Linked DNA regions of Mytilus edulis. The protein of the gene in region 2 interacts with the protein of the main gene of each other region in a pairwise test. Links are inferred from orthologs where the notes say so. Each region holds a gene or a part of one and is shown on either strand. Other genes may lie near its edges. The genes, in order: GTPase KRas-like, serine/threonine-protein kinase B-raf-like and ras-related protein Rap-1b.

Region 1 (3,842 bases), on a different chromosome or scaffold from region 2:
CAATAGTTCCGGTAAGGAGGCGGGGCTTATAGGTTAGTTGAGGTCATTGACGTATAAAGCTAACGTTTATACGTATAGCTTTATCTGTGTAGTAAAATAGCTGATTGCAGTATAAAATAAAAATAATGAACATTTATGAATTACAATTAATATATATTTATTTTTATTCCTTAGAAATATTTTTTTTTGTTGGGGCCGGATCGACTTTACATATGGGCTGGATCGACGTGGGACGGATAGACTTGGGCCGGATCGACGTGGGGACGGATCGGTGAAAATACGGCCATATTTGTCCATTTGTTATGATGAACCTTAAGTTGCTGCAACTGAATTTCCCTTTTTTATCCTTTTTGTTATTTTTGAATAATTTGTAGAACCAAGGATTTGTATAGTTTTACAACTATATACAAATCCTTGGTACAACTAAATAGTAAAATTAGTAAAAACAAGGATTTGTATAGTAACTATACAAATCCTTGGTAAAAACAAAACCGAAGCATTTTCTCATTTCCATTTCACAATTTATGTTGACTCAAGATGGGAATCGTTGAGAAACCTTTGTTTCAACCCTTGTAGATTTATATTAATAAATATCAAAAGAAAATTAAAACGTAAAAGTTGAGAATTCCCGCTTTAAGAGGACAATAGTTGTACTCTGGACATTATGGACGCGGGAAGAAGTGTGACGCCCACCATTTTGATTTCCTTCTTTCAAGGACATGATGTTGCAGTGTTTATACGTCATTTTTTCTGTTGTTTTCAGAAAAAAAATACAAGATCAAAACGAGAAAAGTGAAACAGCTAATCGGCATCACTCGGAATACCTACATAAAGTGGAGTCCGAAAGCCACGCACTTTGAAATTTTGAGTTATCTTCTTTCTGGGGTCTTCAGTCACGGAAAGCACCGAGGCAGCCCGGCCAAAGAAATCTTTGTTGGAAAGATGCTTGTATTGCATGTAAACCACCAAAAGACCAAGCGCAAGAATGATAAAGACCTAAAAATTGGGGCACCTTGCAGGGATCACAGTTTTACAATTAATTAATAATTTTTTGTCAGAGTTATCTCCATAAATTATAATGCAATAGTTATGAGAAAAAACACCAGAAAACTCATGCATTTTGTACTTCAGTTTTGATAGTAATTCAAAGCTTCAGGAATAACAACGAATCAACAAGTGAGACTACCTGTTACTATTTTTAGTCAAAATAATTTCTATTTATAGAAAGGTAACCCCCTTGAAAACCGTTGAACAGAATGCTGTTGAATTCCATTTTTGTTTAGATGAATAAACTTGATTTTTCAAAGGTTTAAATTTATAGTCATAATAAATATAACCAGATCTAGAAAACAGATTAATGAATATTCTTGCATTTTAAGAAAGACGACAAGATTTAATTTCGGAAATGACAAATATCCCTTACGTTTCTAAATAATTTTGGGGTATATATAATGCGACTGACAAAAATTGGGTCATCAATGCCTGTTTAGTGCCTCGCTTCAAAGAACGGAGGGTCACTGGGTTAAAAATCTTTGTGTGTGGTGAACATTTGTAATATTTGTGCATCTTATTTTGAGTGGATTTATGAACTGGTCTTTCAAATGACAGAATACAAGCTTGTGGTTGTTGGAGGTTTGTATTTTTAATAAATTTAAGGGACGAAATGGGTGACAAACTGATACTTGATGTGTGTCAGCTGTTAAATTTTTGTTGTATCTCAGAAGACACCAAAACAGACATCGCCCATGAGAGCATTGTTTACTTCGCAATAAAATTCATGACTAATTTTCCTCACATTATCAGTAGAGGGACTAAATCATTTCGAGCATTTAGTGATAGGGAAATTACAATATCTTGATCAAATGTTGTAGAAGCAACACATATTAACCATTGTCATGATGACAAAACATTTACACTGAGTATTATAAGAATGCAACCTGTTGAATATTATGCATATATTTCACAAAAAATTGTACTACCAGAAGACATACAAAAGATATATGGGCAGGAATTCACTAATGCTACTTTAGTGTGACATTGTAAGAAAAAAATAAAAATCATTATAAGCTTCTAAATTTTTTACAAATTATTGCTACAAATGGTGTCCTTCTATTTGTAACCAAAAAAATCATTTTTAAACTTGCGTCAGTTTGAAATCAAAGCAAATAACGTATTTGGAGCATGTAACATAGACACTTTTTCCAAATTGAGATTAATGATTCCTTAACTTATTCAACATTTAATATCATATATATTGATCACAAAACCTTGTCTATCATCAAAACTCTAAAATGTATATTTTCATTTCTTTCAGAAATTTTGTGAAAACAAGTTTCCTCTTCTTTTCTGTCAATGTTACATGCAATGTTTAAGAGATAAATACAGTAAGAATCATTTTCTTTCTGAACATGTAAAGGCTCTTTTTCATTGTGTTACCCTCACATTAAAAAATTGTATTAATATTTTTGCAATTATCTCATTTCTGTCATAAAATAGTGACTTAAATGTTGCATGTAACGTGGACACAAAAAATATGAATAATGAACCATGCCAGAATTGACCTTATAAGATATAAAAAGCCTCCAAACAACCATCTGAATGTAAATTATACAATTATACTGCCACATTTCTCATATATGATATTATTTAAATAGTGGTTAATACCAAAACCATTCACCTAAATTTCAGACAGCAGACATATTTTTTTTTAACTATACCAGTAGTTATGCTTGTTCATGGTGGTACACTATGGAAGGCTAAATTAAAAGATATTCAAATGTCAAAATAACCAGAAAAATAAAATTAAGACCAAAGATAGATCAATTGATGAAGGAGTCATCCAAAATTTCCACAACATGAAACATTTTTATATCAGTAAGTAAGCAACCTGTTTTTTTTATGCACGGGGATGAGATTGATAAGAAGACAACCACACAACCATCAGCATCCACAAAGTTTCTCACTCAATAACTAATACTGACAAAGTAAGGGTACAAAATGATTACATGTATCCCTCATTCATGTGACACAGTTACACTTAAAACTAATAGTATGAAAAACCAAGACAAAATATGGACAAATCTACGAGAGGTTGATACAGCTGCATTTATTGAGAATCTTATTTTCAATCGATTACATAACTTCTATAAAGAACAATTTGGGTTTCATTTTTGAGGTTGTTGTCTGATAGACATATTACCCAATATCTCGTTTTATTTCTGCTGGTTAATCTTACATTTATGATAACTTTTTAAGGTTTAAACAATAAATTTTATTTCAAACATTCAAAACAAGTTTCTTGTTTCTTGTTTCCTGTCTCCAACATCTTCAACTATCTATCTGAAAAAAAGAAAAAAACAAAACAACAATTAATCTACCCTCAATCAGAACCAAAATCCATGCATAGATTATAAAATTTACAATAATATAGAAACTCTCAAATATCTTGCTTCGATTTTTCAATGCCATTTCATCTTGAAAACTTGTTACCTAAACTACAGGAAGCCACAATTTAAAGGGCTCCATAATGACCAGTGTAAAACAATTCAGAAGAGAAAACCAACACCCACTAGACCATAGTCCTGTTTTCATCTTTATTTGGCCTTCTTTTACTTTTTTGTTTCATTAGCGTCACTGAAGAGTCTTTTGTAAACGAAAAGCGTTTCTGGCCTACAAAATTTCAATTCTGGTATCCATGATGAGTTTATTATTATTATTTTGAAATCAGAAGGAGCCTGAACCTCTTATAATGCAAAGATATTCTGGAATGTCATTATTGGCATAACAATTAAAAAAAAATGTTACAAATTGAATTCCTCATGATTTCTATAATGAGCATCAGT
Region 2 (3,600 bases):
CAGGGTTGCACTTGGTCCTATTGAATTTCGAGTTGTACTGAAACATATGTGATATTCCCCACATTGCTCTTTTAATCTCTTTCGTCTTTTGTATTCTGAAATCGAAAGTTAAATTCATAAACAACCGTGATTTGTTTTACATTAGAACATACGGGTCAAACTGCCGGCAGTTGTTTGTGTTTTTTTTTTTGGCAATTTAAATAGAGAAAATCTGACAGGTTTTAAACGAGTATATTCATTTATATACCATGCCAAGATCTACAAGTCTTTATTAGATTCAAATTATTCGATGTCTATTTTTTTAAGATGCATTTTTTTGTTTGACTAATATACCGAAAATTACAAGAGCTAATTAGCGGAACTGTTACTTGCAATAATAATCATTCTGATACATACAGCTTGTTTTTCATTTTTTAATTTGTTTTATCATTTTTTGTTGTTTTTTTTAATTTCTGAGGGGGGGGGGGGTCCCGGCCTTCCCGTGAAAATAAAGTGTCCGTTCCCGCATTATGATTTAATTGATATTGTATTCCGAATTCTCAACGGTTGAATTAATTTGGTATTCCCGAATTCCCGAAATAAGTTGGTTCGATTCCAGCCATTCCCAAATAGGTTCTTCCGCCTCTCTTCAATAGAAAATATAGGCAAAATGTATAAATACTATATAGTACAAAATTCATAATACCTTGAACAACATAAAAAGAGAATTTTCTCTGATAAAGGGTATTTTTAAAATGTTTCATGTGAATAGTTAATGTCACGTACAGTAATGCCTAATTATAATTGTAAGACGGAGATATAGTACGGCTGAAGTTAAGACCGCTTAAATGTAATTGATGGATTCATTTAAATGAGATAATGAATGGGGTTCTTTATTTTTCTGTTCTTTATTTTTAAGACGTACAAAACTTATTTTTTAAAATAACTCTTCAGTATTCTGTAAAAAATAAAATTCTTAAGAATGTTAAGTTCTGTAGATCCTCGAGTGTAGATCTAGTATTAAGTCTATTAAAAACGGATAATTTCTTCCTGTATACATTCGTCATTTTTTTAATCAGTATTGTATCACCTTAGTTTTTTATTTTCCTCCGTTATTCTCTATTTCTAATTTTTTTGTTTGCTCATTTTTTTCATTATTCAATGTATCAAGGATTTGTATTTCACTATACTACAAGCCCCCCTTAAATTTAAATGTGCCGGACAAAGGAAGCTCAAGGCTTTTTTTCAGTTCAGGCGTTATGCGAAAGTCATCCGAAAAAAATAATAGATGACAAAACTTGATACAGTAAGGTCTATTGATAAATATTACACAACTGTCTGACTAATCATATGCGTAAAAATATCGACTGACTTGTACTGTCTAGAAATTCCTCGTCAAATTATCGCGTGAATATACGATAATGTAAGATAGGTCACGTGAGAGCCTCTTAAAGAGGCAAAATGGCGGTCGTTCAACCAGTGACAATGCCGAATGGGGATATTCAAGATCTACCAAATACACCGCCTAGACATGACGCATATGACATAGCTAATTTATTAGACCAGGTAGAAATAACAAATAAACCCATTGTCCGCTCAAATATTGAAATATACATGACATGAATGTTGAATTTATTGTAATTTTCTCACGACATCAGCCATAATTTGGTTTCCATTTGTTGACAAGTAAAAACATTTTTGTTTTGCTAATGTGCATGAGACGTAGTTGAAAGTAGAAAATGTGGTCAGAGGTACATTTACAAGACTTGAAATACACAAGTCATTCAACTTAAATCTGCGATAAATACCCAGATATGTTATTGCTGCCTTTTCAGTCATGTCTGTCAACCTAGCCAATATTTTTTTAACTTTAAAGGCTGTCACATCATAATGATTGTACCTATTAACACCTTGATTAACTGTTAAAAGTTCATTCAGATAAAATATAACGTTTTTGTCCGTTAATTACCAGCTATGCAAATGCTGATGTACAGAACATAACTCAAAGACGAAGGAAGCGTTGTATGTAGCAAGTGCATAGAAGCTGTCTAGTAAAATTGGTCAAGAGATTTTTTGATAAAATATTTTAAGTTAATTTATCAATCTCATCATTTGAGATGACATTTTGCACTCACATGACTTAACGGCACCTATCACTTAGTTGCTTTGTTCTTTAAAGACCAAATCAACTGTCTTGTCTCAATGTCTGATTTGGATTTGTTGATCATAAATTAGTTACATGTGAGGCAGGTGATACCTTATGGTATCAGGTCCGTTCACACTGAGTTTGTTCGCCTGAAGAGTCTGTTCTTTTGAATTTTTCCTCTCTACTAGTACTTTAATCAAATAAATATTAATATTATGGACAGTAGAGTTGGGGATCTCCATGACCTGTTTTATGATGGCAGGCGTTAAAATATCTCTCCGCAACTGTCAAGAGATCCCTGCCACCGTCAAAAGATCCCTGCCATCATTAAATAAAGATCACTAGTCACTTTAACAGGTAAATCGACACACCTGACAGGAGAACAAGATAGACTACTGATTGCACGATTTAATTACATTTAAAGGAAATTGAAATTTAGATTAAAAAAATAAATGTTTTTAATCCAGTTATAAAGAAGAAGTTTTCAAGTGGAACGCTATAAGTTATTTGGTTCGCTACTGACCCCCTACGGATCCATAGAGGGTTAGTAAAATCCATAGGGGGTGAGGCCGGAGGCCGAGTCCCCTATAGATTTTATACAACCTCTATGGATCCGTATGGGGTAAGTAGTTAACTGAATAACGAATTTATCGCAAGCTGGACTTTTTCTGCTGCGTATTGTTGAAAAATAAAAGATGAAACAAAACAACATTAATAGATGAAGTCACCATTAACGCGTCATGAACCCCCTATGAAATGAAAAGCCCCCTACGGTCTCATAGGGGCTTGTGACGGCGTTAAACCAATCACAACGTGATCATTTACCCGCGGTGCGATAAATGCTAATATTGACGACTTACGCAATCAGCATTCCCCTTTTTAAACGCACAGCAATTAGCAATAATATTTAATATCTTTAGAAGTTTTAAAGTAAATACATGTACATGTACATGAATATTTACTGCAAATTGATAATATCTGAAGAAATTTCTTATTGTCAGGGCTCACACTACTTCAGAATTATAGAGAGAAGTGACTTCTTTTTTTGAAATTGATAGGGAGAAGTGGTGAGATTTGAAAGAGATTTGAAAGAGAAGTGCTCTTTCGTGCAGTGCGCTACACTGTTTGGATTTTACTATAGTATAAAGGGTCATATGTAAATAATGTTCTTTTTATATTATTCAATTCATATCTGATTATACAATAAAAGTAACATTTCAAATTAAAAGTTGTTTAAGTTTTACTAAGGTTCTTGTGAGAACTGCCAACTAAATATTTAATATCTACTCTAGCACTAAAAAAAATATTTTTTTATTTTAAAAAATGTAAAGAAATTATAATATATCAATTACAATTTAATTCAAATCTATCTTGTGTATGAAATTCAGTGTTTCTCATAAAAAAATATAAAAGTTATTAAGCTGGGCCATAATATAATTAATAGTCTCAGAGTTAAGCAACTTTGAAACAATCAA
Region 3 (3,842 bases), about 23 Mb from region 2:
ACTTTTATAACTTGTTACATGGGTGGAGATCGAGTTGTCTCATTGACACTCATACCACATCTTCCGGCTATATCTATAATAACGTAATTGAACCTTGATCTCTGGTCCATGAAATGAGCTCGAGGTCAGGTTTGTCCACTCTAACGAACATATATAGATCTTACTAGGAACCCATACACCACAGCTTCTTTTGAAATGAAAAATGGAAATATGTCAGAAAGACTTATTACTGGAACTGTGATACGAATTTTCTGCCGTAGTTGACTTTGTACGTTTTGACAATATGGTTTATCGACAGGTAGAATTAAGGCATTCACATGGGTGCTCATTGTGCCCCTTTAATAGCAGACATGTTGTTTAATTGTTAAACCAAATAATTGCTTATGAAACTGACCAATCAATTTATTTTTATCATTTTAATCATTCACAGATCTAAAGAGAGATAACTCTAGTTTGGTCTTGATATTTATACATAGCTGCAACATCTTAGAATTACATAAAACCAGGGACTGTACAGGCCCGGATCCAGCCATTTTAAAAAGGGGGGGGGGTTCCAACTATATGCTCCCATTCAAATGCATTGATCGGCCAAAAAAAAGGGGGGTTCCAACCCCCGGAACCCCCCCCCCCCCTTGGACCCGCCACTGGGACATATAATGTATGTTTCTGATAAAACTAAGAAAAACATCCAAATGAATAGACATTAGACAGTAGACATTATTTTATTAAACCAATCATGGGCCCTTGTCGGGCAAGACACAAAAACATCCGATGATAATACAATAATTATATAAACATTAGTGAAATACACAATAAGTAATACCAGAGACATATATATTATTCTGGTAATACACAAATAATAAATTGATAATATGAGCAATGTAGGATATAACTATGGTAAGAGGCAGTGAGTGCAATGAGGTCGATTTAATATTAAAAGAATATGATATAAAGTTTATTAATACGGAAACGAACAAAAAGTAAAAAGAACCAGGAATCTGAGACTACTATAACACAGTTATAGTAGTCTCAGCAGGAATATAGTATCATTGAATGTTCCACTTATTTCTATTATTTACTTTCTAACCTTAAACATTAAGTCTTATTGTTAAACATTCAGGATATGTCTTACTAATCAGTAATTTAACGACCTAACAGTGCTTTTAGTACTTGTAATTCCTGCGCCCTCTTACGGTTAGTGTCTGTGCGCGGAATGTAACGACTGGATTATTCGGGTACTCGGAAGTTGGGAGTTGACTACTATTTGTCATGCGCATTGACTCTATTCCAAATTTAGAAGTAAATCCGCCATTATCAATATAAAGGGGCCAAACGTCATAACAAACTGTTGTTCACAGTTATATCTTTGAGGGAAATAACTTTTTTGGTAAGAATTCATAATGTCCAACCGTCGTCCACACACTTTTGACCGGACGTTCACTTTTTTTGTTAAAGCTTTAAAGTTTTAGCGATGGATTCCCCTCGGAATATGGTTCAACTTCAGCAGGAAATGCCAAATGTGACGAAAACAACTTTGTGTCGATGTACCTTATGATCAATCATCCGTCTTCTTATGATCAATCATCCGTCTTCTTATGATTAAATATTTTGACACTTTTCAAAAATATGTTTCTCTCTATTAGTGATGAAAATAATTATATATCTCTCGGAAAATATCAGGTTGATGACTCAGTCCCATCCCAGATTGCAGGCTGGGTACAATCCTTCAAATAGGTCATTGTAACCTGCTTGAAGTTGAGGTATGCAATGTAAATGTTTTCATTTTTCGATGGTATTTATTTCAAACTGTTAGCAAAATGAGATGAAAAGCTACATCTTCTATTTAATTATGGTCTGTTAGCCCAAAATCATGTTTTGCTCCCATTCTCTTTTGTCCCCTTTCCGACACAATGACTGATCACACCAGACTAAAACCCAACTTGTTGAACCTTGTGTCTGTTTCACATTTTATTAAGGTTTTGTTTCGAATAAGTTTTTAATCACGATCTTATGTTAAAACCAAAGAAAATAATTATTTTGATTTATAATACTGTTGGACTCAACATGGCCAAAAATTCATATTGAGAACCGTGGTCCTTGGATAAATGTCTTATTGGCAATTATTTCAAATATCCTTATTTTGAGTCCCTTAACGACTTTAGGTTTGCACTGTGTCTAAATGATTTAAACCATGACAAGTTATGGATGAGGGCGGATAGGACCTTTATCAGGACTCCAGGGTCGGGTGTTTTTAAGCTCGGATTTCAGGATCCAGGAATTCTTTTTTTGAATCTCGGGATGTTGGGATTTAAATTAAATTATATTCCGGACCTCAGGATTTGATGTTTTTATAACTTTTTAAGCCCTGGATTTTGGGATCCCTCCAGTCCCCCCCCCCCCCCCCCCCCCCCTCATGGATCAAGTCATAATTTTGTTCCATTACAAAAGAAACAATGAATTTTTAACGAGTAAGGGACTTAGTATTGTTAAGTTGAAAATGTAATGAATAGATAATACCATTTGTACTGTAAGGCCAGGGGAGAATACTTGGACTCAATAACCCTTACATGTACCGTAGGTACAAAAAAAGTTTTAGGATAGTAACCGGCACTTGGTTATGGTTACATTAAGACTTTTTAGGTTACAATCATGACAGTGTTGTTGACATACATTGCACATCTAACACTTTGAATTATCAATATTTTGCTTAGTAATAGAATTTTGCCTTTAAATTCTAGAAAAGACCTAATGACAGGCTTAATTTGTATTTTTTATACTTTGATATTAGAACACAATGAATGAGATTTGTTAACCATGCCTAATAATCATGTACATCTACATGTTACTGTATAATGTATATACATTGTAAGACTATGATGTTTTTTTTTCAATCTTATTTCAGATACCAACAGAAAATGAGGGAATATAAACTGGTTGTGCTTGGTAGTGGTGGTGTTGGTAAAAGTGCTCTGGTAAATATGCTCACTATTCAGTTATTAATGCAGGTTTTAAATGTCCAATGCTTGATCATGTTGATACAGTTATAATTTAAAATGTTATGTACATGTATCAAAAAAAGAAAAATAATCCTTCTTGTTATTATTTTTTTAGAAGAAATATTTTTTTCACTTGTGACGTCTCTGTCAATAGGTATGTTCGAGTTCGATACATCATACATTTCCGTCAAAAACTTAATATTTAGTGAACATTGTTCATGCGTTTAGGGGCATCATTACTGTTCCCATGTTGAGCCAGTGGTGGAAAAATTATTAAGCTATATATTGCACGAATTATTCAGCAAATTGAATTCTCATAATAAATTGACAATCAGCACTGCTGTCATTAAAGTATCTTCTGACTGAAGAAACATTATTTCTAGTTCATCCAGTACAATGATGATCACTAAGACACTTAATGAATGTTAATAGTGCAGGGATTCAGGCAATCCCCTCTATCTGGTAAATGACGTCATAAAGGTGTGCATAATTGACGAGTATTTGAAGCTACAAATACATTTTTTTGTAGCTTGATATGTCCAGCAAAATGTCAACCATTTTTATGCAGTTAAGCTGCATTATGCGAGCACCCTAGATTTGTGTTATACCCAATAGATGCTGAAATACTTGCCATTGGTATTATCTAGCTGGCTACTATGTTATATATACATGTTACTAATTGAATACTTTTTTAATACTTTAAATTCTGGAATACAAAAATATGACCAGAAAAACCGTAAATGATTGTCGAATCACCCAAAAGTATTGAAGTTGCACATAGGAAGTAGGGCTCATTAGGAATCCTTGTGTAGTTTATTATGGCCTGTGCTTTTGGCTAAGATCATT

The links.
Region 1: the proteins of serine/threonine-protein kinase B-raf-like (region 2) and GTPase KRas-like interact in a two-hybrid assay, tested with the Drosophila melanogaster proteins (2 studies listed by BioGRID). The link is inferred for Mytilus edulis from reciprocal best matches to the Drosophila melanogaster genes Raf and Ras85D.
Region 3: the proteins of serine/threonine-protein kinase B-raf-like (region 2) and ras-related protein Rap-1b interact in a two-hybrid assay, tested with the Drosophila melanogaster proteins (2 studies listed by BioGRID). The link is inferred for Mytilus edulis from reciprocal best matches to the Drosophila melanogaster genes Raf and Rap1.

The regions. Positions count from the first base shown.
Region 1 is NC_092350.1:17,274,343-17,278,184, reverse strand, and holds the start of GTPase KRas-like, read left to right. Parts: upstream 1-1,459; 5' UTR 1,460-1,601; coding exon 1,602-1,632; intron 1,633-3,842. UniProt on the Drosophila melanogaster protein: Ras proteins bind GDP/GTP and possess intrinsic GTPase activity. Plays a role in eye development by regulating cell growth, survival of postmitotic ommatidial cells and differentiation of photoreceptor cells.
Region 2 is NC_092344.1:73,763,602-73,767,201, reverse strand, and holds the start of serine/threonine-protein kinase B-raf-like, read left to right. Parts: upstream 1-1,392; 5' UTR 1,393-1,440; coding exon 1,441-1,545; intron 1,546-3,600.
Region 3 is NC_092344.1:96,278,146-96,281,987, forward strand, and holds the start of ras-related protein Rap-1b, read left to right. Parts: upstream 1-1,183; 5' UTR 1,184-1,387; intron 1,388-1,518; exon of another isoform or gene 1,519-1,760; intron 1,761-2,902; 5' UTR 2,903-2,915; coding exon 2,916-2,972; intron 2,973-3,842. UniProt on the Drosophila melanogaster protein: Ras proteins bind GDP/GTP and possess intrinsic GTPase activity. Plays a role in photoreceptor cell determination.